Linked DNA regions of Alligator mississippiensis. The protein of the gene in region 1 interacts with the protein of each later gene in a pairwise test. Links are inferred from orthologs where the notes say so. Each region holds a gene or a part of one and is shown in the gene's direction. Other genes may lie near its edges. The genes, in order: CCNDBP1, AMPD2, NANOS2 and MRPL15.

The links.
Region 2: the proteins of CCNDBP1 (region 1) and AMPD2 interact in binary tests that used the Homo sapiens proteins (3 or more experiments, as listed by UniProt). The two-hybrid records come from large-scale screens. The link is inferred for Alligator mississippiensis from reciprocal best matches to the Homo sapiens genes CCNDBP1 and AMPD2.
Region 3: the proteins of CCNDBP1 (region 1) and NANOS2 interact in binary tests that used the Homo sapiens proteins (3 or more experiments, as listed by UniProt). The two-hybrid records come from large-scale screens. The link is inferred for Alligator mississippiensis from reciprocal best matches to the Homo sapiens genes CCNDBP1 and NANOS2.
Region 4: the proteins of CCNDBP1 (region 1) and MRPL15 interact in binary tests that used the Homo sapiens proteins (3 or more experiments, as listed by UniProt). The two-hybrid records come from large-scale screens. The link is inferred for Alligator mississippiensis from reciprocal best matches to the Homo sapiens genes CCNDBP1 and MRPL15.

The regions. Positions count from the first base shown.
Region 1 is NC_081832.1:303,254-310,397, reverse strand, and holds the start of CCNDBP1 (cyclin-D1-binding protein 1), read left to right. Parts: upstream 1-4,140; 5' UTR 4,141-4,285; coding exon 4,286-4,355; intron 4,356-4,450; coding exon 4,451-4,516; intron 4,517-4,619; coding exon 4,620-4,699; intron 4,700-4,805; coding exon 4,806-4,887; intron 4,888-5,013; coding exon 5,014-5,110; intron 5,111-5,373; coding exon 5,374-5,447; intron 5,448-5,695; coding exon 5,696-5,772; intron 5,773-6,378; coding exon 6,379-6,632; intron 6,633-7,007; coding exon 7,008-7,068; intron 7,069-7,144. Other genes in the region: ZNFX1 (NFX1-type zinc finger-containing protein 1), read left to right, coding at 56-151, 1,512-3,944. UniProt on the Homo sapiens protein: May negatively regulate cell cycle progression. May act at least in part via inhibition of the cyclin-D1/CDK4 complex, thereby preventing phosphorylation of RB1 and blocking E2F-dependent transcription.
Region 2 is NC_081837.1:34,357,186-34,364,773, forward strand, and holds the start of AMPD2 (AMP deaminase 2), read left to right. Parts: upstream 1-4,579; 5' UTR 4,580-4,693; coding exon 4,694-4,772; intron 4,773-5,167; exon of another isoform or gene 5,168-5,350; intron 5,351-7,439; exon of another isoform or gene 7,440-7,529; intron 7,530-7,588. UniProt on the Homo sapiens protein: AMP deaminase plays a critical role in energy metabolism. Catalyzes the deamination of AMP to IMP and plays an important role in the purine nucleotide cycle.
Region 3 is NC_081838.1:484,421-492,432, forward strand, and holds the start of NANOS2 (nanos homolog 2), read left to right. Parts: upstream 1-5,072; intron 5,073-5,113; exon of another isoform or gene 5,114-5,412; coding exon of another isoform or gene 5,413-5,443; 5' UTR 5,444-5,521; coding exon of another isoform or gene 5,522-5,579; intron 5,580-5,805; coding exon of another isoform or gene 5,806-5,839; intron 5,840-6,046; coding exon of another isoform or gene 6,047-6,395; 5' UTR 6,396-7,358; coding exon 7,359-7,892; 3' UTR 7,893-8,012. UniProt on the Homo sapiens protein: Plays a key role in the sexual differentiation of germ cells by promoting the male fate but suppressing the female fate. Represses the female fate pathways by suppressing meiosis, which in turn results in the promotion of the male fate.
Region 4 is NC_081826.1:73,127,104-73,134,743, reverse strand, and holds the start of MRPL15 (large ribosomal subunit protein uL15m), read left to right. Parts: upstream 1-4,638; 5' UTR 4,639-4,674; coding exon 4,675-4,791; intron 4,792-7,640.

The DNA.
Region 1 (7,144 bases):
TGAGAAGTTGGCTGTGCTCCTCCGGCAGTGCTGACCTGACAACTTTGTATTTCAGCACCGCATGCGCCCTGAGATTGCCCAGCTCCTTACTCCTCACATATACCAGGAGCTGGAGAACCACCCCTCGGTCCTCACCTATGAGAACATCAAGGTACATTCACAGCTGGTGCTAACCAGTGTGTCTCAAACCTTTTACTGGTAACTGGAACCCTCTGTTTAGCTCCATCATACCTGGTTGCTTTTTGGGGTTATACTGAAGTGCCTCAGCCTCACTCATTAAATTCATCTGTTTTAAAAAATATGACAGCTGACTTGGGAATTAGGTGCTATAAGAGACAACTGTATGTGGCAGCAACAAGACAGACTATGGTGCTGCATCCAGTTCTTACGGCAACCTTCTAAGAAAGATGACAAAGACCTGAAAGATGCAGAATGATGCATAGATGATTGGAGGCTCGAAAAACACTGCTAGAACGAGGCACCCTAGGACCTTAATCTTCTTATTGGAAAACAGATCAGCAACTCGATTGTTATGTATTTACTTCATGAGGTGAACATACCGGCACTCATGGATTCCTTAATGTAGCAGAAACAAACGAGAACCAACAGGTCAATGCTGAACTGAGGCAAATTTTAAATTAGACCAGATATTTTTAGCAGTGAGGATGACTAACAGTGGAACAAAGTGGTAAGGAACAGTGTGGGAAGGCCAGTAGTGGCCAACCTTTGTGACAAGCATGCCACAAGTGCAGCCCAAAGTATGAGCCAGTGCATCCACTGTATTGCCCTTTTCCATCAAACTAGTTATGCTGGCACAAAAGCAAAGGGCTGCCAGATATCCCTTCCTCCTTCAGACAAAATACAAGACCTTAAATACTCAGGCCCTAAAGTTGGGCGAAAGGAGGAGGAACGCACCTCTAAATGAATGAGCTTATTTGGATTTCAGAACCAAAGTGCCACAGACCCTGAGATGAGACTTATGTGGACTGCAAGTACCACACAGACACGTCACTGGAAAGTGCACGTGTGCATTCCACCCAAGCTGCTGGGTGTATCTGTAAGTGATAAAGCCTGTCCATCCACCCATTCCCCTGCCCTCAAAGGAAAACTTGTCTTTAGTGTATGGAACATCTGCTTGCAAACACCCACCAGCACCCATCCCTTCTAGATAATGTGAAGAATATTGCAGGTGATGAGAGAACTTGGGTCTTCCAAATAGTGCAGCATTTCTGAGTTGTCAGTGCTGTCCTATCAGGACTCTGAGGCATGGCTTGCAACCTGAAAGTCTTTCTTTCTTGCTAGTTATGTTGTGAAAATGTCTGACAGAGGCTTTGCCTTAGGTGTGTGATGCTCTGCCGCACTGCACCACCCAACACCCTCCCCCCCGCCCCGGTGTCTGTAAACTATGCCTGAAGTCTTAGGGAGGAAACCACAGATGCAAAAGGGAAGGTTGCCATGTTGGAAGGAACTCTTCTTTTCTCTGGTGACCTTTCCCTCTCTTTTCATTTCAGGGGGTTGCATCTAACCTCTTCTTTGTGGAGCATGACTTCCCTGAAGAGGAAATCCAGGAAGGGAAAAGCCATCAGAACCCACACGAGGCCAAATTCGTGGTGGAGCTATGCAAGTACTTCCTGTGCCAGGACTACCTGCCCTCTCAGATCACCATCCTCACCACCTACACTGGGCAGCTTTTCTGTTTGCGCAGGCTCATGCCTGCCAAAACCTTTGCAGGTGTGAAAGTTCACGTGGTGGATAAGTACCAGGGTGAGGAGAACGACATTATCTTGCTTTCACTTGTGCGAAGTAACAGGGAAGAGAGAGCTGGATTCCTGCAGATTTCCAACCGGATCTGCGTGGCATTATCCAGAGCCAAGAAAGGGCTGTACTGCATTGGGAACATGGGGATGCTCGGCAAGGTCCCCCTCTGGAGCAAGATCATTCACACTCTCCGAGAGAAAGGTCGGATCGGCCGCTCGCTGATACTGTGCTGCCAGAACCACCCTGACACTCGGACCCTGGTGTCCAAAGCAGCAGACTTCTGCCAAGTTCCAGAAGGGGGTTGCAGCCGCCCCTGTGAGTTCAGGCTGAGTTGCGGACACGTCTGCACTCGGGCATGTCACCCCTATGACATCCAGCACAAGGAGTTTCAGTGTCTGAAGCCCTGCCAGAAGGTGCTCTGCAAAGATGGGCACCGTTGCCCCCATTTGTGCTCTGAACCCTGTGAAGAATGCATGGTGAAAGTGCCGAAAACTATCCCCAAATGCGGCCACCCACAGATGGTTCCTTGCTCCACCCCTGCAAGTGAGTTTTCTTGTCAAGAGCCTTGTCAGAAGTATCTGACATGTGGGCACAAATGTAACAAGCTCTGTGGGCAGGAATGCACTGCGCAGTGTCCTGAGCTGGTGATGGTCACATTAAAATGTGGCCACGACCAGCAGGTGAAATGCTGGATCACGGAAGAGATGGAAAATGGGATGCCTGTGAAGTGTAAAACGAAATGTGTGACCACGCTGGACTGTGGCCATGTCTGCCCGGGCTCCTGCAACACCTGCTATGAAGGGCGATTTCACGAGCAGTGCAAGAACCCCTGCAAGCGCTTCCTCGTTTGCTCCCACAAGTGTCAGCAACCTTGCACTGGGGAGTGCCCTCCCTGCCAGCAAGCATGTCAGAACCACTGCGTCCACAGTCAGTGTAAAAAGAAATGTGGGGAGATGTGTATCCCATGCATGGAGCCATGCGAGTGGCGGTGCCAGCACTACCAGTGCACGCAGCTTTGCTCAGAGCCATGCAACAGGCCCCGCTGTGATGTACGGTGCAGTAAGAAGCTGCGCTGTGGTCATCCCTGCATCGGGCTGTGCGGGGAACCCTGCCCCAAAAAGTGCCTTGTGTGTGACCACGATGAAGTCACTCAGATATTTTTTGGCTTTGAGGAGGATCCGGAAGCCTGCTTTGTGCAGCTGGAAGACTGCGGCCACATCTTTGAGTCCCAAGGTCTCGACTATTACATGGACGAAGACGAAAGTGCCGTCAAGCTGAAGGTGTGTCCCATCTGCCAGACGCCAATTAGAAAGAACTTGAGATACGGCACCATTGTGAAAAAGCGGCTGGAGGAGATCGAGAAGGTGAAGGAGAAAATCCAAGGCCCAGCGCGTGAAATTGAAACGAGCAGGCACAGGCTGCAGGCCACGCTGGAAGGGAAGGCCGTTCTGCGGAGGGTGCTGCCTACCAAGTACGACCGGCTGGAGGACAGGCTGAAGCAGCCCAACCTCTCCACGAAGAGCGTCGGGCTCCTGGAGAACCTGATCAACTTCTACGAGCGCGTGGCGGACCTGACCGGGTCCCTGAGCAAGCTGGACCCGAGCGAGCGGGAGGTGCTGAGGAAGCGGCTGGCGGAGGTGCAGGAGTGGCTCAGCAAGCAGCGGCTCAGCTTCAGCAGCCAGGAGCTGTCGGACCTGCAGAGCGAGATGCAGCGGGTGACGTACCTGGCCAACCTCCTGACCCGCTGCAGCGCCGCCGGCACGCGGCTCAGCGCCGCGCTGGCCCAGGACGTCGCCGCCCTGCGCACGCTGCTGCAGCGCACCGGGAGGTTCACGGCGGAGGACGAGGCGGCGGTGCGGGTGAAGATGGAGGAGCTGAAGGCCGCGCTGCCCACGTCGGGGCTGGGCATCTCGGAGGAGGAGCGGGTGCAGATCGTCAGCGCCATCGGCTGCCCGCGCGGCCACTGGTTCAAGTGCAGGAACGGGCACGTGTACGTGATCGGGGAGTGCGGCGGGGCCATGGAGCAGGGCGTCTGCCCCGAGTGCCAGGCCGTCATCGGCGGCCACAACCACGCGCTGGACGACTCCAACCGCCTGGCGCCCGAGATGGACGGCGCCGCGCACGCCGCCTGGTCCGACACGGCCAACAACCTGCTCAACTTCGAGGAGCTCGGCCGCCTGCTCTAGGCCGCGCCCGCGCCCGCGCCACGGCCCGCCGCACTTTACCGCCCCGCCCCCGCCCCGCCCCGCCCCGCCCGCGCTGTCCGCGTTTTCACCGCAATAAATTTTATCCAGTCACTCAAGGTGCCTGCTCCGCCCCGGGGGGGCGGGGGTCCTGCCATCACCCGAGCAGCGCCGGAAGTGGGCGCGGGGCAGGGCGGAAGCAGCCCCTACGCGGCGTCTTCCGCCCGGCTGCCGGGCCCTCCCCCAGGTTCGGGCAGTGGGGCCAGTCAGGGCAGCGGCTTCAGCGCTGTCTGCGCGTGCGCGGCGGCGGGGAGTGCGTGTGCGCACTAGGGGGACAGCGCTCGATGGAGCCGGAGCTGGAGCCGCTGCAGCGCCTCGGCGGGGCCCTGCGCGCGGTGCTGGCGCGTGTCCGCGGTGAGCGGCGGGGCGGGGCGGGGCGGGGTCTCGGCCGGGGGTCCCGGTCCCGGTCCCGGTCCCGCGCTGAGCCGCTGCCGCCCGTGTCGTTGCAGAGGGGGAGCCGCCCGCCCGCCGCGCCTGCCCCGCCTTCCAGCCGCCGCGCTTCTGGGCCGCGCTCGGTACCGGGAGGGTGCGGGCGGGGGCGGGCAGCGCGGGGGGGGGGGGTGGGGCGGGGGCGGGGCGGTGTGTGACCGCGCGTCTCCCGGCCGGGGGGCTGCGCAGCCCGGAGCTTCCAGGCGACGTCGCGGGAGGCCACGAAGCTGAGCCTGGCCTTCTCGGGGCCGCTGCCGCCGCGCGCCCAGGTGGGTGCTCCGCGGCCGCCCCCCGCCCCGCCCCGCCCCAACCCTAGGCTCCCCGCCACCCCGCGCCCCCTTCACCCTCGCCTCGCCTCGCCTCGCCCCCCCGCAGGACCGCGAGAAGCTGTGCGACGGTGTGCGGGATGCCGTGCTGGCGGCCGCCGCGGCCTACCACGGGCTGCCCAAGGACCGAGGTGAGGCGGCCGCACCCCTGCCCCCAGGAGGAGCCGGGAGGGAGGGTGCTGGCGGGGGCAGAAGGGGCCGTGCAGAGCGGCCCCCGCGTCCCGGCCATCAGCCTCTTCCTTCTAAACCTCTCCCAGGGACCACGCTCCGGAAGATGGTGCGCGACGCCACCGCCGAGGTGGTGGAGGGCACGATCCAGCTCACAGACGTGATCCTGAGCAGCGCTCTGCAGAGGTAACGCTGGCCCTGCCCCGCCCCAGCTCGACCGGCCTCGCGGCGGGTCGCGGCCACGGGAGAGCAGCGGCTTCGTGCGTGCATGCGTGCGGTCCGGGCGCCCCCAGGGCCGGCTGGGAGCCTGGGGCTGGGCGTCGTGGGGCGGGGGCGGGGGTCTGCGTGGCTTGGTCAGGCTCGCAGCTTGAGGCGGCTGCCGGGTGCTGCTCAGTCCTCTCAGCGGCGATGGGCCCAGGGCCTCGAGGGATTTTCTTTCTCCGCTTCAGTTTGTCTCGGGAGCAGCTCGTATCGACTGGCGGCGTGTGGGAGGCGTGCGAGCAGGTGTCCAGCCTGCCGCGAGGTAGGTGGCGTCGCTGCAGGTAGCGAGAGCTCTGCTCGCAGCAGCACTGGCCCTGGTAGCCCTGAGACGGAGCGGAGCCGGTGGCTCCTCGGAGGCCAGCCCCTGCCGCACGAGCCGAGTCGCCTGATGCGGGGACGCCGCAGCTCTGAGCGACTGCAGGGAGGCGGGGGAGCGTGGTGCGAGCCGGGGAGGCGGCGGGGTCTGCACAGCCCCCGGCCCACTCACCTCCCTCTGGCCTCTGCGTGCAGATAACCAGGCAGCCGTCCTGTCAGTTGTGGCCACGTATCTGGAAGTGGTCAAGGATGCCCTGAAGGAGATGGAGCAGGTAAGAGGCCCTTACTTCCCTCTACAGACAGCTGTCAGCTCTGGGCTTTGCAGTAGTGCTGCTGTGACAGCAGGCAATGAGTTTGCCCCGGACAGCGGTCCAGTTGGTTTCTGTGTTTTGGTTTCGACTCAGACCGAGATGTTCAGCCCCACACGGCGGGGGCGCCTGTGAAGTGTTCAGTTTCTAGCTCGATATGGGGCTGCTGCAACTCGCGTCCCTGGCTTCTCCCTGAGGGGCTGTTTGCTGGTGGGGAGAGGGGTGTTCCGGCAGGCTCTTGTTTTAGGCGTGTTGGCTGTAGCCCTGATGGTTTAAGGACATAGCTGGACATGGTTCTTTGGGTGAATGCAATATGTTTTATTAAATTAAGTAATTAAATAGTTGGCCTAATAAAAGACATCAGATTTCCCAGCAAGCTCTTGGCATTCGGTAGCCTTGAGGGGAGGGTCTAACTTCTATATCAGTCTCCTACAGAGAAGCCTTCTCAGCAATGGCCTTGGACACCTGGGAGCTGGGGGATCCTGAGGGAAGCTTGGGTGTGCTGGGGATTGCTCGTCATGCCTGGGGCAGATGGTGGGTTCCAGAATCCCGACGTGCTTGTGTCCTCAGGCTCAGGTTGAAGGAGGTGACCCCTACGGGGACATCATGGAGGATGAGGAGCTGGGTTCTCGAGGCAATCGGGATACCTACTGGTCCGAGGCAGACCGGAAGCTGCTCAGCCCCTGCATGGGGCTGATGAAGGCCTCCAAAGCCTGCCTGAAGAAGGTCTTGGGTGCAGTGAAGGCTCACGGCAAAGCAGACACACCGGAACATGTCGCGCAGCTGGATGACCTTGCAGACATTGCCAACGAGATCAGCCCCTGGTGAATCCTCCCTTCCCTTTCATTGTGGCTTGCTGGGTGCTGTGCTAGAAGCAGCATCTTCGCAAGGGTTGCATTGCCTTCTGAGCTGGTGGTGGGAGTAGGGGCATTTGACCCTGGACCTCTGAGATGGGCTACAGGTGTCATCCTAGCTGGGCAGGAGAGAGCTCCAAGGAAGTAGCCTGGGGAACAGGAGTGATGCCCTGGCTGCAAGGCAAGGGAGAGTGTGTTCAGGCAGAACCCATGCTGAACCTGGCAGCACCAGTTTGCTCTCAGAGGCGATTCAGTAGGTGGCTGGTGTCACCTTGGGCTGTGTGCTTGCTGGCACTGCCAGGGGGTCCCCCTCCTGTAGTGACTGCTCTTTCTGTTCTGCCGTAGTGTGGACGAGCTGGCACTGAGCATGTATCCACCCATGAACCAGCTGGCTGTGCGCCTCAATGTAAGTCCTGCTGTTCTTCAGCCTTCCTGTATAGAGGCCCTGGCCTGGCTCCCGTGGAGAGCAGAGCGTGTCCACG
Region 2 (7,588 bases), on another chromosome or scaffold:
CTGGTTCCTGAGCCGCACTGCGGACAGCTTGGTGGTGAATGTGTGGTAGCCTCCTCACACACCTGTGCCTTTTTCACAGGTCCTCAAGAGAAAGTGCCTCCTCCCTCCAAAGCTGCAGCCCCATCTGGTATAGCAGATCTCTTCCAAACTTTGCCATTTGCAACATCTGAGGAAGTGGGCTGTGGCCTACGAAAGCTCATGCCTCTCTGAATGAGTTAGTCTATAAGGTGCCACCCTGCCAGGCCTCCTCCTGAGCTTCAGACTAACACAGAGAACTACTTCTCTATGGGGACTGGGCATGCTCTAAGGATTACAGTTAGGATGCGCAGGGGCTGGTTCTGAACTGGATGAATGAAGCCTGGGATGAGTCCCAGAGATGCCTTTGACAAAGGTGGGCTCGGGTTTAGGGTTAGGTGCGGTGTCATGGGCTGGCAGTTGGACTGTGGACTTCTCCTAACTTGTCTTTGTGGAGGTCTGCCTGGGGAAGTGGTTGTACATCTAGTGATGGACACGTAGATCCTGCCTGGGAAGAGAGTCATTAACTCCTCTTTCCCCTTGGCCCAGTAGCTGGAGACCAGATTTACTTCCACATCAAGGAACCCCTTGACCTCTACCCACCATTCCCGACCTGCAAAGCCACCAGTGTCCGAGCCCCTGCCCACGGAGGGGCAGAATGCATAGCCCATGATTTGACGTGTGACTGCCAGCCTCCTCTGAAACAGCAGGGTTCCTGCCTCTCAATCAGGACAACATCCGACCGACCGTGACCTTCCCCTCCATGAGGGAGGGGGCATGGAGCAGCATTCTCCTCCTCCTCCCTACCCGGAGATCTGTTCCCAACTGGAGATCCTAACACCCTGCCTCTTTCTGATGTGAGTGCCATGTGCACGCAGGCCAGAGCCAGTAGCTGCACACGGTTTTGTTATAGCCCCAGGATAGTACAGGCACCCCCCAAAAACTGTCTTTAATATACCTTTCCCTTGGGGCTCCCCTTGAGGTGCTCTGGTGCATGTTAAGAAGGAGCTCCAGGCTGAGTGGGCATGGAATTTCCTGTGCTCAGAGGCTTTCTAAAAATATGCCCTTCTTTAGCCCTGGATTAGGGTGACTTTGCAGAGCAATCACTGGGAAAGAGTCCTAATCCTTGCACTGAAATCTACCCTGGCATTGCAGGCCCTTTGCCTCTCTTGGGCACATCATGAAGCCACAGTTAAGTACCAGAGGGACAGGAGACAGGTGGAGGGAGCTGAGTGGGACGTGTTTGGAGGTGGAATGACCAGGAGGGGCTGTGGCAGGAAGGGAGAGAAAGGAGGAGCTGCTGGGGAGGACGAACATCTCCAGGGATGGAATATCTCTGTGGGATGTGGATGCCCTGTGCGGACGCCAGTTGTAATCCAGCCTGGGGCAGTTGTGACTGCAAGGCATTCACTCCGATGATGGATGTCATTTCTCAGTGGGCAAGAGTCTGCCTCATCATAGCAGCCGCTGCCACCAGTGCTCCCTGCTGGCAGTCAGAGCCAGGCCTCAAGCTGTATGCCCCATCCTGCTAGTGAGCATCCCTGCTGAAAGGGGCCAGCATTTGTACAGACCATGCAGCCCCGTGTTGTCATTCAGGCCCTTTTCCCAGAATGAGGGGTCATAAAAGCTGTACTTCAGTGAGATATTTCCTATCCCTGTTACAAAACCCTGAGAAGGGAGGCTGGATGGGCCAAGTGGGGACTGAGAAGCATGAAAGATATATGGGTGTGAGGACAGAAGGGGTTGGGAGTGGACATGGAGGCACCAAGTGAGAGCATGGGACATGGGCAACAGCCATGATGCATCTTCTTCTGATTCTTCATGGGTGCATGTAGCTTGAGTTACTCAGCTCCAGGCTGGAGCTCAGCTCTTGAACAAGACCCGTTACCCCTGTGGCAAGGTGAGCAAGCAGCAGGCTGCCTCTCAGTCCTCCGTGGAGAAGTGGGTGGCAGGTCCAAACAGAGCAACCATAGTAGATATCCTTGAGTGGGGTCTTTCAGTGTGGTGGGTGCTGTTTCTGGTGCAGGAGGCTGGTATTGTTCCTAGCTGCATGGGTGCAAAGCAGTTGCATGGGGTTTCCAGCAACAGAACTGAGATCAGGATCTGGCCCGTTTGCTGTGACACCTGAGACAGCTCTGATATGAGCTGTCATATGATTAAGAACTGCGCACCGAGCTGAAGCGTGTGTGGGGCAGGGGGAAGCCTGAATGACAACGCAGAGACCAGCGTGTACTGACACTGCCGGGTAAGACCCTTTCCCTTTTGCAAACAGCTCCCTCACTGTGGGCCTCTGCCTGGGGAGCTCTTTTTTCTGTCTCCATAACAGACTCTTGTTAATGCCCTACATTTTAATTGCCCTCAAACCTTTTCCAAGCACTGTCTCTCCCTCTTCTGGGTGCTGGGGACTGTTGTTTTACATTCAGTATTAGCGATCTTCATTCATATGCATTAACAAAGCAAATGCATTTTGTACAGCTTTTTCTTTGTTAATACATAGTAATGAAGATCGCTACTACTGCTTGCCCTCCTCTACTGCTTTCCAGGGGAGGGTTTCAGACATGGCAGTTAGTAGCTATTTACTAACTATACTAGTTAGTGGGTAGCTATTTACTAACTAGTAGCTATATGAAGAGCATCTGTATGAGTTCTAGGGACTCAGGCACCAGTGTTGGATTTGGTACAGCCAGCCTTAGCTAACTAGCTAGCCATTTTCATCCATGCAGCCACCTCTTAGGTGGTACATCTGCTGTTTAACAGTAACAGAATAACACTGCTCAGCTCTCTGGGAGGAGAAGAGGGGAAATCCTGTAGGCAAGTGAAAATATTTGTAGTGAAGGCCCTCACATCAGACTGAGATTCGGCCAGGTGGGCAGCGCTGGCTACAGGGGAAGAACAATTAGGACCTTGTTTCATGCCTGGGTATTCTGGCCCAGACGGGCTGATATTCTTAATGGGTCACAGATGGCTTTTCCATTTGTCACCTGTCATAAATGAAACATCTCCTGGGCTGGAGAATGCCTGTGGGTGGCAGTGGGCCAGGTTTTTGTTTTCAGCTGTGCTTGACTTGGGCAAGACAGTCCATTTTTCTGTGCCTCGGTTTATCCATCCTCAGTAAGGACTACTTATCCCTCATTGTTGCTGTGTGGCGAGCAGATGAAACGCGCTGTATACCTGCTTGATTTGTTGCTCACATAGTTTGGCAGGGTTCATCTTAAACGCAGCTGGAGTGGCAAAGGGGTTTAGGAGGGCCTTGCTCTGTTCTCAGCATTGCCGAGCCTGGGATCTCCACCCACCCTTAGCTTTGTGCAAGCCCTCGTTTAACAGGCCTGTTCCAGGAGGGAGAAGTCAGCCATCGCCACCTGAGTGCGTGTAAACAGCTCTTGAATGGTTAGTGCCATTGCTCACTCAGGACGGAGCCTCACCGGACCCCCATTTCCACTCCCGAATGAATTATGCTGCTCAAACCCCGTCATAAAGGGCCCAGCAGCAAGAAGCCTCCCAGCCTCCTCCTCCGTGGTGCTAGCGAATCACAGCGGCTTGTGCCGCGGGCCGCTCTGTGCTCCTTGAACCAGCACCCCGGCATCTCCCACGAACTCCTCCGTACATGGTGCTGCGATGCTGGGACCCGCGGCCAGGCTAGCAGCTGTCCTAGCCTTGGGACTGGCTTTGCTTGGAGACGCTGCCAGCCTGGACCAGCCATCGGGGGCTCCTGGAAGTTGTTTTCATGCCCCAGGCCAACGGGGCAGAGTTAAGGCGACTGCTTGGCCTAGTCAGGCAGAGCAGGCTCTTTGCATCTCCCCCGATCCTCTCCCTCTTCTCTGAGCTTCCTCACGGTTGTCGGCAATATCTGGAGTCCTCAAGCGTATTTTAATAACCCGCGCAGCGGTGGGACGCTGCCAGCGCCCTCGTCCCCTTGACACCCTAGTGTCCAACCCACGGTTTGGCGATGAACCAAGCGAAGGATGGAGGAGGCTGGCCCCAGGCTGGCAGGACCACGCAGGCCCACCCAGGAGGGGCAGCGCGCACCCCTCCCGTGCGCTCCCGCGGCCCCTGCCGGCCGCCCCCGGCCCTGCAGCCCCGGCGCGCGGGGGGCGGGAGGGAAGAGCGGCGCAGGCGGGAAGAGCCGGGCGCGGCACCGCCCCTCGGCTCCGGGTTCGAGCCCAGCCCGCGACAGCCCCGCGCCCCGACGGCCATGGCTGCAGGTAGGCAGCGCATCGCGTCCACACACACACCCCACCCACCCCCCCAACAACATGCCAGGGCTTCTTGCCCCCCTTGGCAGCCAGGGCGCTGGCCGGATCCGACAGGGGAAATAGCTGCGGTCGGCCGGGACGTGGCAGCCTAGTGGAAACGAGCCCGGGGTTTCTGGCCAGCCCTGCGGCTCCTGTGTGTGCGGGTCCCCCCAGCGGGGCCGGCTTGTCACCCGGGGATGCTCGGGGTTTGGGGGCGGTCGCCTAGGAAACACCCGGGGGGCAGCTCTGCGCCCCGCCGGCTGGGACTTTGGTCCAGCCCCGGGCTTCCTGCATCAATCATCGCCCAGGGGCGGGGCCCGGCCCGGCTATTGGACGAGCGCGGCCTGCCTCCCGCGTCCCCGCCGCAGTAAGAGTCCCCAGCCCGGCGCGCCCGCCGGCTCCGCAGCTCTGAGTCACAGCTCTCAGCCCGGGCAGACGGAAGCAAGATGTCATCCGCCGCCGGGGTTCCCCGAAACAAGTACCCCTTCAAGAAGAGGGCCAGCCTGCAGGCCCCCGCCATGGCAGGTGAGCGAGCGCAGGCCAGGCCCCCCGGCTCCTGCGTGCCCGCCTGCCGCTGGACGGCGGGGGGACATCACAGCCTTTGTTCCGTGCGAAGGGCCGGACCCCTCCATTGCCCATCCTCTGGGGACGGTAGTGGACTTATACGGCTCTAGTGGCATCCTGAGCATCATCCCCCTACGATATCTGCCCGCCTGGAGCGGGGTGGGATGCTGGTGGCCGCGGTGCGCCTCTTTCTAGGGGCGTGCTGAGCGGAGGGTAAGGAAGCAGCAGGCTGGGACTAGGTTTTTCTGTGGCACAGGCCGGGGTGGACTCGGGGAGGAAGGGGATTTGTGCCTCGCCTTTCTTGCAGAAGGACGTGGGTGTGAGGACTCCGGACAGGTGTGCAGCTGTGTGTGCGAGTGATACGCACGTGGCGTTTCGTGCAGGGTCAGGTAGCGATTGATTAGAGCAGGACCGCGGATGCTGGATAGCTGGATTCTCTGCCTGGCTCTGGGAAAGAGCGCGATTCAGTGGGGAGGACGGGGACCCGGGAGTCAGGATACCTGGGCTCTATTCCTGACTTTGCTGCCTATTTTCTTCAGGTGAGTTGCTTTGTTATTTGGTGCCTCAGTTTCCCCTTTTGTAAAGCAGAGAGGAATGTACTTACCTGCCTCTGTCACGTGTGTTGAGATTATTGCTGCACTTCTGTGACCATTGCTGGTTGGTGGTGGGCAGAGATGGATCTTGGAGTGTGTGAACTGCATCAAAATTTAGGGCTGTCCCCCTGGCCACCTCCTTTGAAAGTCGCCTGGCGTCCTCTCCCCACTGTACTGCAGACCCACAGCCTGTGTGCTGCAGAGGAGCTCAGCCAGGGGGATGCTAGCCTCAAATGCACTTCCCACACACATCCAAGAGACACCAAGGGACCTGAGCAACATCTTGTTGGTGACCCTAGGGTCCTATTCTCAGGCCATAGCATACCAGTGACATCCACTGGGCTGCCTGTATCTCATGGCAGGAGATGAAATATAAGGTATCAAAGCATGAGCCCTGGGGAAATGTAAGTGTCGAGGAGGGCCTGTGACCCTTCTGGAGATGCACTGCCTACATATCGGTGCATGTGGGTGCCTGGGTGGGTGTTTTTTTGCAAGCCTGTATCTCTGTGTGGGTGCTGTGTGTAAGAGAGCATGGGGAACTGCTGTTCTAGGTTTGACAGTATCCCACTGTGTAATGCATCAGACCAGCGCTCCAGTCCGCTGCCCTCTTTCAGCCTCGGTTCCTCCAGACCCATCGCTATGGTATCTGAGTGCCTCAGCAGCTGGTACCTGATGCTTCAGAGCCAGGCACAGGAGGAAGAAATTCCCACCATGCACTTGGCTAATTGACATGTGTGGGTGGTGGTGGAGGGGTGTGTTGTGCACTCTGGATGACGGTGTTCCAGACATATTGTTATTTTTGGAGTAACTCATTTATTACTATTCCCACTGGGCCCTGGGAGCCCCACTGGGGCTCATGTGTGAGTGTGTAGATGGGAGCTGTGCAAGGCAGATGCTAACAGAAGCGTGGTGTAGCGCGTGGGGATGCAGGATGAACACAGATGCTACTGTATGTACATGGTGGAGTTATGTGGCTACGCAGGATGGACACCTAGATGCTAACAAGTGTGTATCATGCTGTTGCGTGCGTGTCCAGCTGCTAATTCTTGGGTGCTGCATAGTCATGTGGGTGCTTTGCATGCCCCATCCCTATGTGGATAGGAGTGTGTGTAAGTCTGTACGTGGATCGATACCTGTCTTTTCTTGCCTGCCATTATAATTCCTGAAATACCTGGCAGCTTAACCCGCCCAGCCAGTCCCGGGTCTGTCAGGGCGCAGGTTATAGAATCCATGTGGCTGCATGTGACGGGGACATTTCCTCACCTAGTGGTGGAGCAGGTGAGGAGGAGGAAAGAGGAAGGGACAGACCAGATTCCAGTAGAGAAAGGTTTCCAGGATTGCCTGGGTGTGAGGGGAGGGGAGAGGAGATGAGGAAATCTTCCCATGTGGAATCTGGTTCAAGGATGTCATGGTCCAGTTGGCACGGCCTGTGAGGAAGCTCCTGCTGCCAGGGACACACTTGCCTCAAGGACTCCCGGGGCTGGGAACAGGCCTCCTGCAGGGAGAGAGCTGAGGGTTTTTGGGGTGATTGCACTATAGTGAAGAGGAGCCCCTTTGCCTTTGGGTGATCATCGACCAGGAACCATGAGGGTGGGAAGAAGCATACTTAAGTCTGGCCTGCAGGATCTTGGGGTGTGCACTTGAGATTCACCTGGGCACGTGCCTGCAGGGATGACTTGTGTGACTCATCCCCATGCACTCCAGCCTGATGCTGTCACCAGCCTTGGATGCGTGTCTTTCTCAGGCTGCTCTTCGGACACCCAGGTTTGTTGTTGCTAAGCTAAGCAGGTGACGTGGCCTAGAATCATATTTATGGTTTTTCTTAACTATGGGCGTCTCTGGGCCCTTTAGGACCTAGGAGCTGCCCACTTCTCCACCCTGCTCCTGGGGTCTTCTTCCAAGTTCCATTTCCTGCCCCTGCCTGCCTCGCAGCAACCGTTCATTGCCCCTTGGCCCAGCAGCCTGGGACTTTGATCAAGTCCCGGCCTTTCTGCTCAATCATCAACCAGGGGAGGGGCCCACCCAGATCCCCTACAAGCTGTTGGAAGAGCCTCTGAAATCTCTCCTGTCCCTCTCCTCCTACCACCTGCCTGCTGGTGCTTCCTGGTGGGTGGGTATGAGCCAGGTAAGGTACACACACCCAGGGGGACTTGGGACTTGTGCCATTGCCCACCAGTCAGAGAT
Region 3 (8,012 bases), on another chromosome or scaffold:
GTGTTGCTGTGAGGTCACAGGAGAGGCCTGGTGACCTTGGAGGTGACTTCCTGTGACATTCTAGGCAACTTCCAGGGTGGCCATTGGTTACTTCCTGTGATGTTGTAGGCTGCTTCCTATGAGGTCATAGGCTACCTCCTGCTAAATTGTAGGCACTTCTTGTGAGGTTGTGGGCTACTTCCTGTGAGGCAGGAAGTTACTTCCTTTGATATAGGCTACTTCCTATGAGGTCATTGGCTACTTCCTATGAGGTTGTAGGTTACTTACTATGAGGTCATAGGCTACTTCCTTTGATGTGGTGAGCTACTTACTTACTATGTGGTCATAGGTTGCTTCCTGTGAGGTCATGGGCTACGTTCTGCGGCAGGTGGTGAGGGTCTCACCCGGGTGTGGGTCCTCACGATGCCGCAGTCGATCTCCCGGGGGGGGCACGTAGGTGCTGCCTGGTGCCCGGGGGGGGAGGGGGTGCCAGCCCCCACCTGCCCCACCAGTGTTATGTCCCCATTCGCTCACCACGGTGACCACCCAGCCCCTCCTCCGCCCTCTGGAGCGGGGTTAACCCCCCTCCTGGGGGGGCCAGAGCCCCTCTCCAACATTGAGAGCAGCAGGGGGATCGAACCCCACATATCAGTGGGGGGGAGCCCCCTCCTTGTTTACAGCCCTCCCCACCCCAGTCAGAGGGACCCCCGGCGGGGCAGGGAAACTCCGGCCACTAGAGGGTCTCTTGGTCCTACTGTCGCTCCGCCCCCTGACCTCTGACCCCTTCCCCCATCATGGGACCCCCTTCTCGCCACCCAACCCCCCCCACCCATAGCATCAGCACTTACCCCCTTACCCCCACCCACGAGGGCACTTACCCCATAGCCCCCCGGACACCGTGCTCCCCCCGTGGTGAGCTGTGGATCTGTGCAATATTTTACCCCCCCACCCCGAGCACCAAGCAGGGGCATTTGCCCCTCCCCCCAGCTGGGGTCAGACAGAGTGGGGGGGGGTGTCCTCGTTAGGGGCCGAGATCAATCACTTTCCGTTCATTAATGGGGGGAGGTTTTAATGGGGGGGTGGGGGGAACCGAACAATGTGAATCTCTTTGACTGCTGTCGGGAAGCAATAGCCCCGCATCTTGCACTGACGCGAGCGGGGGGCAGGGGTGGGGGACCAAGCCCCCGCCGGGGCCTGCATATCAGTCGGGGGGGGGGTTGGGCCGGGCTGGGGGGGGGTCGTGCCAAAATCTTTGTCTGAGTCTTTTTGCCATAAAGTCAGGAGGGGCCGGGCAGCTCCCGGGGGGCTCCGGCACCAGCCCATAATACTCCACCACCAGCCCAGGCTGTTCTAATAACATCCCATAATACCTTGGTAACAGCCCATAATACTCTATCCACGGCCCACAGTACTCCAGTAACTGCCCGCGATACTGACACGCCGGCAACAGCCCAGAATACTCCACCAAGCCCCCGGTATCCTAGCAACCGCCCCGAGCACCCCGTGACCTGCCCCCACTGCCCCAGCACCGCTCGGTGTGCCACCCCGTGACCCCCAGTGTCCCATAATGCTCCAGTGCCCGCCCCTAACCCCGCCGGACTCGCCCTGCACCCCCCGCCCAGGGCCACGCACTAAGTGCGACGTGTGACCCCTGTGGACAGGCCACGCCGGGTGCTCGGGCCGGAGGGCGCCGTAAATGTCACGTGCCCGGGCCGCGGGCAAGGCCTGCTGGGAGCTGGGGCACGAGGCTGTTACTCCCCAGGGCTGGAGGCCAGGGGGGGAGGGGCCCTGCCTCAGTTTACCTGACTGGCAGCGCTCGTGGGGGCAGACGTGGGGTGAGGAGCCGCCTGGCGCCTCAATCCCCTGGGCCGGGCGCGTCCATGGCCTGAGACCAGACGGTTTTCGTTGTTCTTTTCTTTCTGGAAGTGCCAAATTCCTGTTTCTAGAGACCGGGCAGCTACTCCCGCGCGGGTCGGGGTCGGGGTCGTTAAACACTGATAAGAATTAAAAAACCTTTCAAAAAAGAAAAAAAAAAAAGGTGGGGGCAGGGGTGGGGGTGGGGGGAGACTCGGGGGTTTTTAGAGGATTTAGAGACGAAAAGAGAAAAACTGGGGCAAAAAAAGCTGAAAAAGGCCACAAAAAAAAGCAAAAAAAAAAAAAAGACATAAAAAGAGGCCGAGGCGGCTCCGCCCGGGCTCTGCTTGTCCCCCCCCCCGTCCCCCCCCCCCGTAGCAGCTTTTAAGGGAAAAACTAATGAAAATAGTAAAAATCGTAACTCTCAGTGCAGCCGAAGGGGCTGAGGCCCTGGGCAGCCGGCGCCCCACTCCCTTGGGCTGGAGGAGCAGGGGGGTCCCCTCCTCTGCCCCCCAGTGTAGCCAGCATGCGGGGGAGGGGGGGTGACAAGCCAGGAGGGGACCCGGGCGTCGGGTGGGGGGGGTTGCCCTAGCTCGCATCTGCCCCCGCAGCCTGCGCCCCTGTACATACCCCGGCAGCCACCCGTACGTGGCGCACCAGCAGCCGCCTGTATATAGCGCTGGAACCCCCCACCTCCATCCCAGTGCCGCCGTGTCCATCGCTGTCGTGGGACATGTCCCCCCCTCCATCCTCCATCGCCCCCCCGCGCCCTGTATGGACCCCCCTACCAGGGGGTTGGTTCTGGGGGGGGCCAGGACGCCTGGGCTCTACCCCCAGGGTGGGGGGTGGGGGGGCGGGGGGCAGGGGCTGGTCTGAGGCGGTGGAGGCCGGAGTCCGGACGCCTGGGTCCTGTCTCCCCGCCAGGCTGCGGGTCCCCCTCCAAATGCCCCCCACCCCCTGCCCCCCGCCCCCCCGGGGTGGGGCCCGCGTGTGCGTCGTGGTGACTCGTGTTGTGGGCGCGGGTGCTAACGATTTAACCCCTCGCTGTCCTGATAAATGTGCGCTCCCATCCGCCGCCTCTGTCGTTCTTTCTGCCCATTTCACAGCTCCTGTAACCCATCGAGGACTAACGGGCCCGGCCCCCCCCCCCGCCCCACGCCCCCTGGGCAGAGCAGGGCCAGGGAGATGGGGGCCAGGGCCAGCAGGAGGAGGGGGCCCAGCTCCAGACGGGAGTGCAGCGCAGCGCAGCGCAGCGCAGTGGGTAGAGCTGGGGGGGCGGGGTGTAGAGCAGGGAAGGGCGTGAGCCTGGACGCCTGGGCTCCCCGGCAGGAGACGGGACGTGGGGGCAGGGGCGCGGGGCGAGTGTTGGGGGCGAGCCCGGACGCCGGGGTCTCTGCCCGGGGCTGGGGCTGGGGAGCCCGGACGCCAGGGTCTTGTCCCCGGAGCCAGGAGGGGAGCAGGGTCTGGGGGTGAGAGCAGGGGCGGGGAGCCTGGATGCCCTGGTTATTGGGGGGGAACGCCCCAGCTCTGCCCTGGTCGGGGGGGGCTCAGCTGGCCCCCACGGGGGGCTCCTCTGCTCACCCCATCGCTCATCCTCATGCTCCTGCCCGAGCCCCCATCGTCTCCATCGCGCCATCCACTGTCTGTGCCCATCCCCGCCCGCCAGGCCCCGCGGCCCCCTCCCTGCTGCTGGGGGGGCTGTCATGTGACCAGGGATTGGGCCCCTGGGGTCTCTGTGGGGCAACTCCAGACTGGGGCGTGGGGGCAGGGACCAGCTCCCGCCCCCCTTTACAGGCCCTGGGGCAGAATAGGGTGACCCCCTGCCCCACATATCCCCATGGCAACCACAGGCTGCTGTGTTGCTGTGGTAACCCCAGGAAGATGGCTGCCCCCCCAAGCCAGACCCCCTGACCCCCTTTCCAGACCAGGAGTTCTAAGGGGTGCTCACATGTCGGGGGTCAAAGGTCAGCCTCATGCAGCAAGGGCTGCATACCTGCCCCCCCCTCCCCCGCATCACCCAGGGACCCCCCCAGGTCATCAGCCCCCCCCCTCGCAGCTGGCCTGGAATGCTGGTGGGCTCTATGACATCACAGATGACAGCACAAGGAGGGGGCAGGGGCAGAGAGGCCACTGGGCCAAGCCAGGAGGCAGAGGCCTGGGAGCAGGTAAGGCTGGGGGCAGAAAAGCAAGGCAGGCACCCCAGGGCAGGGTGGCTCTGCGGGTGACACCCCTCTGATCCTCCCCATGCGGGGGAACAAAAAGATCCCCCAAACTCCTTTCACTCATCAAGGGCAGACTCCTCTGACATGGAGAGGTCTCCCCATCCATGTGGTGAACCAGGCTGACCCTGCTTAGCTTGGGAAGCCGGGTGGGGCCCGAGCCTGCAGTGCAACAGGGGCAAAATGAAAGATGCTGTAGGCCCCCTGGGTGGGGGTGTGGGCCTGGCTTACCCCCCCCCCCCCCGCAGTGCCCGGGCATGGCAGACTGCAGGGGGCGCCTCCTCTCTCTGGAGCGGCGAAACCAGGCACTGGTGAGTGCCCCCTCCCCCGCCGAGGGGCCTGGGGCAACCCCCCCCCCCCCCCCCCCCGCATCAACTGGCCGCCACAAGCCTCCTTCCACCCCTGGACTGCCCCGCCACACACCATGGGGCCTCCCGCCATCACCAAGGCCTCATGGGATTTGGGGGCATCCCCTGAAGCCCACCCTCCAGAGGACCCCCCAGCACCCACCCAGCACTCACTGGGACCCCCATGGCCTGTGGGCTCCAAGCACCCTGCTGGGGGCCAATGAGGCTTCGCACAAGCCCCTTCGGGGAACCGGGGGGGGGGGAAGGACCCGAGAAGCCCAGACGCTGGGTCCATTCCCAGCTGGGGCGGGGGGGGGCGCCGTTTAGGGAAAACCCGGGAGTCCGGTCCCAGCTCAGGGAGGGCAGCGGGGTCCCGTGGTTAGAGCAGGGGGGGCTGGGAGCCCAGATGCCTGCCCTGACATTCCCTGTGCCTCAGTTTCCCCTTGAGATGGTAGCAGCCCGGGGGGGGCGGGGAGGGGGGGTTCCTGCCACCCCCCCCACTCAGTCTGCTCCCCCCCCCCCAAGATGGAGAAGGTCACGTCCCTCCGAGCTGCCAATGCCAACCTGCAGCGCATGGTGAGTGGCTCCATGGGGGGCACGTGGGGGGCAGCCCCCCCACCCCCCCTGACCCCCGTCTGCCTGCAGAACGCCCGGCTGAAGGAGGAGAACCAAGGTGAGGGGGGCAGACCCCCCACAGACCCCTGGGGGTGTCATCCCCTAATTGCCCCCTGCCCTGTCCAGGTCACCCCCGCCCCTCAGGGACCCCCACTTCCTATTGGCTCCAGACCACTTGTGATCTCACTTCCCGTGGGCTTGGGCCCCTTGCGAGGCAACTTCCTGCTGGGGTCCGAGCTGCCCGTGACCTCCCTTCCCGTGGGTTGGAGCCCACTTGTGATGCCGCCCCCTCCCTGCAGCCTTCCCCTGGGGTTGGGGCAGGGCACGGGAGGGGTGACCCCAAGGCCCAGCTGGCTCTGGGGGGCACCGGCCCCATAACGGGCGTCTCTCCCACTCAGTCTTCAGGTCAACGGAGGACGTCCTGCTCCGGTACGCGGGGCCTAGTGGGTAGAGCGGGGCAGGGCGTGTTGGGTGCCGGGGTTGAGGCCGACCTTGACCCCGATCCAGGGACAACCAGCGGATGAAGCTCGAGGTCCAGGAGCTGCGGGAGCTGCAGGAGACGCTGGTGAGAGCCCGGCCCCCCTACCCCCCCCCGGGCCTGATCCTGGCCAGTGCTGAGTGCCCCCCAAAAGCTGAAGGAGCAGGGGCACTTTGTACCCCGGCCCCTTTAAATCCACCCCAGCTGCCCCAATTTGTGAGGGGCAAAAGCAGCCCCCTCACCCCAAGCACTTAGCCTTAGCCGGGGGGGGGGGGGCCTGACCCCTGACCTTGCTCTCTGCCCCCCCCCGCAGCAAGATGACCTGTACGTGCTGGAGGAACAGCTGTGTGAGTAGCAGCCGGGGCCGGATCGGGCCTCTGATGTGGGGGGAGGGGGCAGTTGGGATGCCAGCCCCCCCCCGACTTGCGGAAGGGCAGGAAGCTGGAGGTGGGGGGTAAAGCCCCGTGCCCCAGCTGGGGGCTTGGCCTGGGGTAACCCCCCGTGCCTCCTGGGGGGGGCTGAGGTAACCCCCCTACCTCTGTGCCCCCTTCCAGGCGCCTGCAGCTGCCACGAAGGGCCCAGGTTGGATGTCTCCTTGCCCCCCCATCAAAAGCCGCCCCAACTGGGTCCCCCAAACCATCCAGGGGCATCTCCCCGGCAGCCTCCTGCCCAGGCGGGGCTGGCACTGGGGGGGGCATCTTCCTGCCCCCCTCAGGCCCCCCTTTTCTCTCCGCAGGGAGGGGAGTTCGGAGCCATCGGGGGCATGAGCGGAGCTGGGGGGGTAGCTCCCCCACCCCCCAAATAAACCCCCTGTGGGGTCTGCTCTGCCCCCCATCAATCAAAGCTGCAGGGGGCGGGGCTGGCAGGGCTGTGGCCCCACCCCGGCTCCTGGAGTGGGCCTGAACCTGGCTTCTCCTCCCTGTGGGGGGGCAGGATCAGGGCCCCTCCTGTTGCTACAGAGAGGGGCGGGGCGGGGCGGGGTGGGGGGGCTCTCCTTCAGGCCCCCATGACCTCCCCCTGCCCAGACAGGGCGTCTGGATCCAGCCTGACTCCGAGCCCCCCTGCCTCTGTCTGCAGCCTCCTTTCATGGGGGGGGGCTTTAAGTCTTCACTTGCCGGCCAGACAGAGCCCCAGAGGTGGGCGATGATTGGCAGCAGCCCCCCCGCCCCCCCCATCGGGGTCTCTGGCCCAGTCCGATCCCCCTGGGGTGACCCAGGATGGGGGGGATTCCCGTCAGGGCAGGGGGAACCCAAACTGGCTTCTCCTTGATACCCCCCCCCCGCAGCCCCCAGGTCTCGGGGCCCTGCAAAGCTGGAGCCAGTCCCCCCAGCTCGGGGCTGGGGCTGGATACAGTTGCCATCTCGTTGCCATCTCCCGTGGCGTCTGGCCCCTTGTTGCCCCAAACCTTGTGGGGGGGGGGTCAAGGGGCTCCCCCACTCCCTGCACCCCCTGCTCGTCTTGTCCGCTTCGCCCATGTTGGGGGGGCCCTGGGGGCATAAACACCCCTGGGGACACAAGGATGGCCTCGTGGGTGCAAGAGGGGTCCCAGTGGGAGTCCTGTGAGTGTGCAAGGGAGTCTCTGTGGGGGTCCCAGTGGGAGGTCTCAGTAGGGATCTCCATGGTGCTCCCATGAGTGTGCAAGGAGGTCTTAGTAGGGGTCCTAGTGGGGGTTTCAGTGGGAGTCCCATGAGTGAGCAAGGGGGTCCTGGTGGGGGGGGTCTCTGCTCATTTTCACCCCCAGCCTTTGAAGATGGAGGGTGACACTGCCCGGTGCCCCTCCTCCTCCCCCCCCCCCATTACCCCAGAGCTGGGGGCATCCACAGGGGCTTCCTGCCCCCCCCCAAACCCTGGAGCTAGATCCACCCCATGGCTTTCCTGCGGGGGGAGGGTGGGCACAGTGGGGGGGCAGCCCCCTGCTCCCTGCCCTGCACTGGCCCTTTAAACACAGACTCCACCTCTGCCCTGGGGGGCTTTAAACCCCCCGCCCCGGGGTCCCCGGGACAGAAATGCACCATGTCCTGCTCCACTCCGGATCTGGCCCCAGCCTTCGACATGTGGCGCGACTACCTGGGCCTGGCGCAGGTGGTGCAGGCGCTGGCGCAGGCCCCGGAGGCCCCCCGCGCGCCGGGCGGCGAGACCCCCGCGGCCGTGTCGGCGCCCGAGGTGATGTGCAGCTTCTGCAAGAACAACGGGGAGTCGCAGCACGTGTACATGTCGCACGCGCTGCGCACGCCCGGCGGCGCCGTGGCCTGCCCCATCCTGCGCCGCTACACGTGCCCGCTCTGCGGCGCCACGGCCGACCACGCGCACACGCTGCGCTACTGCCCCGCCGGCCCCCGCCAGCGCTCCGTCTACCGCAAGGGCGGGCGCAACGCCGCCGGGCACCACGTCCACCGCTGACCGGCCCCCGCCGGACCCCCCCGGAGCCGCGCCGCGCCGCAGCCCGTGAGTGCCTGGGCCCGCCCGGCCGCCGGACACGTCCGTGCCCGGAGCCCCCCCCGCACGGGGCGGGGGTGCAGC
Region 4 (7,640 bases), on another chromosome or scaffold:
CAAGACGGCAGCTCACTCAATAAAAACTGTAACTTACTGTCCCAATTTGGAGGTGACTATACTTGTAGAACAATGAAGGAAGAATCGCAAGTGTAGGCCGGATCAGATTGATCACCTGAACCACCCTCTCCGTGAACACAAATCTCTTAGTTCACGCTGAAGCTGCAGAGCGCCCGAAAGGGACTGAAAGAAGGGGACTTAGTCCTATCAGTATTGAGGCCAGCCTATTGAATTGTATTGCTGAGGCGAGCCCATTGAACCGTACTACTGAGGCCAACCCATTAAATTGTACTACTGAGGAATGAAACCATATTTTGGTATTTGGCTTCTCGGAATTCTAGGATTGTAAGTATATTATGAAAATAACAGTATTGATTCAAATCTAACTTTTAGTTGTAATTGTAGTTGTTTTTGTAATACTAATTCTTATAGCATTGTTTGGGAAGGAAGTGCATTCAGAGCATTGTTTCTGATATATGTAATTATTGTGTTCTTAATGTTTGTGGTGTTTCTTAAAGCTAAGCAGTGTTATATACATACCAAAGAATTTTAAAATAAAATTGTGTTGTATAAATTAAGTGTGTAATCATTGTGAAATCGTGCAATCAGCTAACTACTCCCCCAGCCAGTGCATCAAAATGAATCAGTAAATTGTGTGGGATTTTCTCTATTCCATAACCCACTAGAGACAGTGGCCTCTGGCATTATTTACTGGGCACTCTTTACACCAGGCTCTGAGAACAGAATCATGCATTTCCTGTTGTGCACTTTCTTGTACTGGACACTAAAGCATATCCTGAATCTCTGTATCCTACACTTGGTAGATGTTGCTTAGGATATGAACAAGGATTTGCCCAGAATGGCTACCTTGTTACATTTCTATAAATTAACTTTGTTATGAGGAGAGATTGTTGGCATGTTTTCTGGGGTTAAATAGGCCTGCTTTTTTATGATTTCAAACAGACTGCTTTTCCTATGATCCCTACCCTTTGAGCTGTCTGCCTCTGGTAGCTCAACTAGGAGTTAAAACTAGCATAATTCTGAATGTCAGTGAAGCATATACTGTATTTAGCCATTTTTGGAAAAATTAACTTTATGGCTAAATAACAAAGAAAGATTTCTCTGCCTCCCTGCCTGCTTCTGACATCTAGCACCTCCAAGGAAGAGGACAGCCTTATTTGCATATCAAAAAGCAACTCACACAAAAGGACTCTGACAGAGGAATATACATCCAGCCTCAACTGCCCCTGCTCAAAATGAAGTTTATTTTCTACCTAAAAGGACTTTTACAATCTTTGATTTTTCCTCAGCCTGAAGAAGGGTGCAAGTGCTACAAAGCTTGGAAAGAAAGAATATTTTTTGCTATTTTTAGTTGGCTTGATAAAAAGGTATCACATCTGAACCAAGAGTTTTAGAGTTTTGTATTTCTCTCGTGGAGCATAAAGGCATTCAAGGTGCATTCCCTGTAACAAAGTCTTAATTATTTTCATAACAAGCCTGTAAGATTAAAGGGCATTATTATCCCCATTTTACAGATGGGAAATTGCAGAACAAAGGTATCTACTAATTTTGGGTATTACATTTTTAGATGCTTAAGACCCGTTTTTGATTTTGTCTTTTTTTTCCTTTCAGAAAACCAAACAGGATGTAGCATTTAAAATGTTCAAAGTTCAAATGTAAGAAATGTTAAAATGTTCCCATCTCCTATTCACTTCAGTTGCAGGGGAGAACACTCAGCAAATTAAACCACAAGGTCTCTAGTTAACTGAAAAGTTTGCCTTAAGCAACTTGACTATCTTCACATAGGAACTGTGTTAAACATGACAGCACCATTTTTCTACTTGTATCCATGCTTCATTCTCACCTTCAAACTTCTGCAACATACAAAGTAGTTTCTTCACTATACAACCCTGATTCATCTGCAGAGGTGTCAACTATACACTTAATGGGACTGGAACATGAAAAAAAAATAACATGATAATACAATTAAGGACTGCATTGTGATACATAGGTACAAGGGAGGACAAGTAAGGGTGCACAAGCAATACTAATTCTGCCATTTGCAAGCTTTGGAGTGCTAGAACTTGCAACTTTAATAATGCTCTTTTTATGTAGCTTTTGTTCATGTGATTTCCTGGGTTTCAACAAAAAAAAATGAGAAAAATGGTAGTTTAATTCTGGCATCATACTAATTTCCCACGCCAGTCATCAACTAGAAAGGCCCTTTAAAGTTTAAATCTACCGTGCAGGCTTCTGCTACTTGATCTAGCAAGTAACTGATACAAGTAGTAGGACCATATGGACTGGGTTAGAACACTGCCAGTGGGATTCAGAAATATCTGCTGACAGTAGAAGAATGGCAAGTCTAAAGCAAGGGTTCCCAAACTGTCGTACACATACTGTTGGGGGTACACAATGCAACATCTCTGGGGGGTACACAGGAGAAATTGTGTAATGACTAATTTAATTTGTGTTACAATAATTGGCGTTTAAAGGGTTAAAATATAAAACATGAACTGGTAGTGATCTGCAGGCAGCTGGTAAATCTAGAAGTGGTATGCAATATGAAAAAGTTTGGGAACCTCTGGTCTAGATCTTGGGATCCATTCTGGCCTCTAGGACTCATGTACTCTAGTAGCCATAAATATTTCATTCAGGTTCATTCTTCCTAGATTTGACTCCTTTTACCCTGTTTTTTCTAACTTTTCCTTGTCAAGATCATTACTCTTCCCTATTCCCAATTTGTCATCCAAATCCCCAAATCCTTTCCACACGCTTATCATCCCAGCTGCAGTCACTTTGCCCTTCAAGTCCTAGTCTCCTCCTCCATTCATGGTAACCTTGCCCAGTTATTCCTAATTTACCTCCAATTTCTCATCCAATTTGTCTCACTCGGCCCCCCCATTTTGTTTTTTAGCCATCTTCTACCTATATTCTCTGTGTCCACTACCGCTGCCTTCCCCTGCTTCTGTCCTCATCTAATCTCACTTCCCTCTTCCTTTCTGCACATTAGGCCTGTCTTTCCTGCCAACTGATCTCCTTTTGACTACCTGTTAATCCTGCTTTCCTTGCCCTGATGGATAGTCTCCCCCAGTGATTCTTCACTCTGTCTCAACATAGCTATGCCCAGTCCTCCACTCCCTTTCCTTCATGTTCAATCACAATTTGCCTACTCAAACAGCCATGGCCTCCTCCCAACCCAACTCCCAGTTTTAGTTTCCATCTTCTCCCACATTTACCATCTTTCCTGCCAGATTTCTTGCCTTAGTCTACCACCTCTACCCTCTTCAGCAGGGCCTGTTCTTAGGCAACTTCCTTCTTTTGGACCTGGACCAATTAAGTCATTAAGGTACCTGGCAGACCTTACACTTAAAACATGATTAACCAGTTAGTCACATCTTAAATAGTAATCTAGCCACACCTTCAAGCAGTTAACCACACCATAAAATAGGGACTAAGCCACAAAGTTATTACACAAACTACCTGTAATAAATGTGGCTGGTTCCCACTGCACCTTAAATTGAACATGGTGATCAGCTGATTGGTGCTCCCAGCCTTAGGTGCCTGTTGGAGCCCTTTGCTCTGGTGCACTCCCATGGCTGGGAGTGTCACTCAGCTGACTGGTGCTCCCAGCCTTATGAATACTGGGCACCTAGCTACACTGGCAACCAAGGGGGAGGGAGGTGCACTTACACCCCACTGATTCCTGCTCCACCCAAAGTTTAAAAACAATTGCCTGGCACTGGCAGCAGCGTTGCTAATTGGCAGCGATGCCGGAGTCAATTGACTTCATGGCTAATTGTAATCTACTCCATCCCTTCTAAACTCTTAATTTCACAGGTGTTTACCGCCGTCTATTTACTGTAAATCTTGATGTTGCACTAACAGTTCTGCTGTCTGTTAGCTGCTACTGGTAATGAAGCTATTTTGCAGCCCTGAAGATTGTTTTTAACTAATTCCAATGAAGTTATATTTGTTTTTGCTTCAATCTTAAACAGAATAATACAGCCCTAGCCTTTTAGCGTATTAGCAAACATTCTAGGTTATTTTTAAGGGGAGAGATGTGTGTTATTTTTTTGTGTGATGAGGCATCACACCAGCTGCACCCCCCTTTTCAAAATCCTAGATCCACCTATGCTGAAAATAGGGCACAATTGGAACCTGACCCCTGATCCTACAATTGCGCCTCCTGCCATGCACGTGTGGAGGTCCCCAGGTCTGCTGGAGCTGGCAGGTACTGGAGCAGCCAGCAGAGCAGCCAGCTGGTTCCTGGGCTGCCACTGCCCTGCCCTGCCCACTCCCAAGGCTCTCCAAAGCCTGGGAGCGCCAGAGATTTTCAGAGACTATATACACCCACGCATATGCATGCATGTATCCATCCATCCTCTGGCCATTTTAGCTGAAATTCGTTCCCACCCACAAAAATCCAAAAACTCAGCAGCCCGTCTGAGGAAGACCACAGCCGCTGGGCAGCTGAGCAGAGCCGCACCGAGCTCCTCCCACGCTTTCTCTACAGCCATCTCTGTGATTACGCCCTGCTGCTCCCTCAGCAACACCCCGGTTGGGCATGCGCCAGAGTGCGGTGCTGCTGGCCCCGCCCCTCGCGGCACAATCACGACAGCGGGGGGAGGGGCTCCTGCCGTAAAGCGCGCGCTTACCCTTGGCGAAGGAGTAATGGCGGCCGCGTCGCGGGGCGGTCCGGGCGGCCCTGCCAAGGCATTGGAGTTGCTGCGGACGCTGCCCCGGGTCAACCTGGGCAACCTGCAACCCAACCCAGAAAATAAGCGCAAGGTGGGTGCCGCGGCGGCGCTGCCCGCCTGGCGCATGGCCGGCGGGTGGTGGGGCTCCCGGAGCCGGAGGCCCTGCTACAGCCGGGCCCGCGGGGTGTCACTGCCCCTGGCGGCCCCGTGGATGGGGCCAGCTCAAACCGACCAGCATTTGATCCCCATCGAAGCAGGTCGTGTGCACGGTGCGCCCCGGCGAGCTGCTGTCTGCCCCTCCCCAGAGAGGACCCTGTACAGGGCCGGGAACGGGCCTTAGCTCGCTCTGTGCCTTGTGCTGCAGGGGGCCTTGAGGTGGGGACGGCGGCCTTGTCAGTCTGTAGGATTCTGGGGCAAGGAGCTCCCCCATCCTCAAGACAAATGCAGTTTCCATTCTCAGTCTTCAAGACTGGTTGCACCTATATTGAGACAGAGAGAAAGCGGCCTGAGCGCTGACAGACTACAACAGGTTGGCAAGCTTTTAGCACTGTGGATTCTTATGGAAGTCTTGCTTTGAACTAGGTAACTTCCTGAGGTCCCATCTAACCCCAGGTTTCTAGGATTGTGCCAGTCCACTGTAGACATGCTCTTACCTGTGATATATGCACTGTAGTTGTTCCTCTGTAACGGCGAGGTTAATCTTGATCTCATGCTCAAATCCTTACAGGCAGATGTTGCAAGGATGGTAGCTTGGGACCTTTACATTTATCCTTTTAAGGTGTAGGAATAATGCATGCTCTTGCTTATGTCTGCAATGTTTTATTCTGTAACATTGAATAAATTGTAGTTTGTGACATGTGGTTGTTGCCATATCAGTATGTATTGAGGGTGTCTAACTTGTGAAAAACCTTGTATCTGTATCAGCAACCTTTTGATGCAGACTCTGTTCCAGTACACTTACTCACATGAGGGACTTGCAGCCTGCCTATGCTGTGCTCAGGAGTGGGGGGACAGGTGTTTAATTAGAGCAGTTCCCAGAAAGCTGCTCTAATTAAAACACCACATGATCACATCTGTTAAACCTCTGTGGATCTAAAAATGGCCGTGGGATGCTTGAGTTAAACCTCATTTGATGTGATGATGAGGTGACACTAGGCTGTTTTTAATTAGAACAGGAGGAGACTTGATTAATCAGCTTTACTGACTACCAAGCTACCATATGCTACACCAGGGTTGTACAGCCCTCAAAGAGCTTGGATCAGCAACATGCTGTGACATATGGGCCCACCTGTTTAAGGGGGTTCATTTTCAAGCCACCTGCTGCTGCCTTAGCCTTCCCTGCTTTGCCAGGAGCTGGGCTCTTATGCACCTTACAGCTCAGCTCACTATCGCTGCTGAATTAGCTGTTCTCCACTAGTATTGTCAAGCCTTTCGGCAGTGTTTTGATAAGCAGAGGCTGTATTTGGAGTGTATGGGAGACTAGTCCTTGTAAACAGTAGTTTTAAAAAGGAGGAAGCACGAACATTCATTTTATTAGTGATCCATGATTGCATATATTGTTACCAGGACTTTAATTCAGACAGCATGTATGTAACTTAAGAAAAAATGTCCTGCTTCAATAAAGTTAGTCAGATAGTTCCATTATGTTGTTAGGAGTAAGGCTGAGAACCAAGATTTTAGAACTTCTCGCCTCTTATTTGATAGTGAAATAGGATGAGATCTTTTCCCACTCAGCTTCAAATAGAATCCTTGTAAAGTTGTGGGGTGGGGGGGAAACAGAAAATTAGGGTTGGGAGGTATCTCAGGAGGTCATCTAGTCCAACCCCCTGCTCGGAACAGGAGCCCGCGCCCCCCTCCGCCCCCCCAAACTAGATCATCCCAGTCAAAGCTTTGTCTAACAGGGTCTTGAAAACCTCCAAAGATGGAGAGTTCCCATCCTCCCTGGGTAACTTGTTCCAGTATTCACCACCCTTCTAGTGAGAGAGTTTGTCCTAATATCCAACCTAAACCTCCCTTGTTGCAGCTTGAGACCATTGCTCCTTGTTCTGTCATCTGTCACTGCTGAGAATAGTCTAGCTCCATCCTCTTTGGAACCACCCTCCAGGTAGTTAAAGGCTGCTATCAGATCCCTTCTTAGTCTTCCCTTCAAAATAAATAAACCTAGTTCTCTCAGCCTCTTCTCAGAAGTCATGCACTCCAGCCCCCAAATCATTTTCATTGCCCTTTGCTGGGCTGTCTCCAAGTTGTCCACATCCTTTCTGTAGTGGGGGGCCCAAAACTGAACATAGTACTCCAGATGTGGCTTCACCAGTGCTGAATAGAGGGGAATAAGCACTTCCCTTGATCTGCTGGCAACTCTGCTACTAATGCAGCCCAGTATGCTGTTAGCCTTCTTGGTAACCAGTGTACATTGCTGACCTGTATTATTGTCTAATCTAACCCCCAGGTCCTTTTCAGCAAAGCTGCTGCTTAGCCAGTTAGTCCCCAGGGTGTAGCGGTGCATGGGATTTTTCTGCCCGAAGTGCAGGATTTTGCATTTGTCCTTGTTGAACCTCATGAGATTTTCTTTTGGCCCAATCCTCCAATTTGTCTAGGTCACTCTTTGAATCCTAGCCCTACCCTCCAGCTTATCTAATACACCCCCCCAGCTTGGTGTCACCTTCAAACTTGCTGAGGCTGCAATTCATCCTACCTTCCAGATCATTAATGAAGATACTGAACAAAACCCAAACCATCCCCAGGACCAACCCCTGGGGCACTCCACTTGATACCAGCTGTGAGCTAGACATTGAGCCATTGATGATAGCCTGACAATCCAGCCAGCTTTCTAGCCCCAATACAGTCCATTTGTGCAACCCATATTTCCTCAGTTTGCTTGTAAGAATGCTGTGGGAAATGGTATCAAAAGCCTTGCTAAAGTAGCAGTGTATTACATTTATT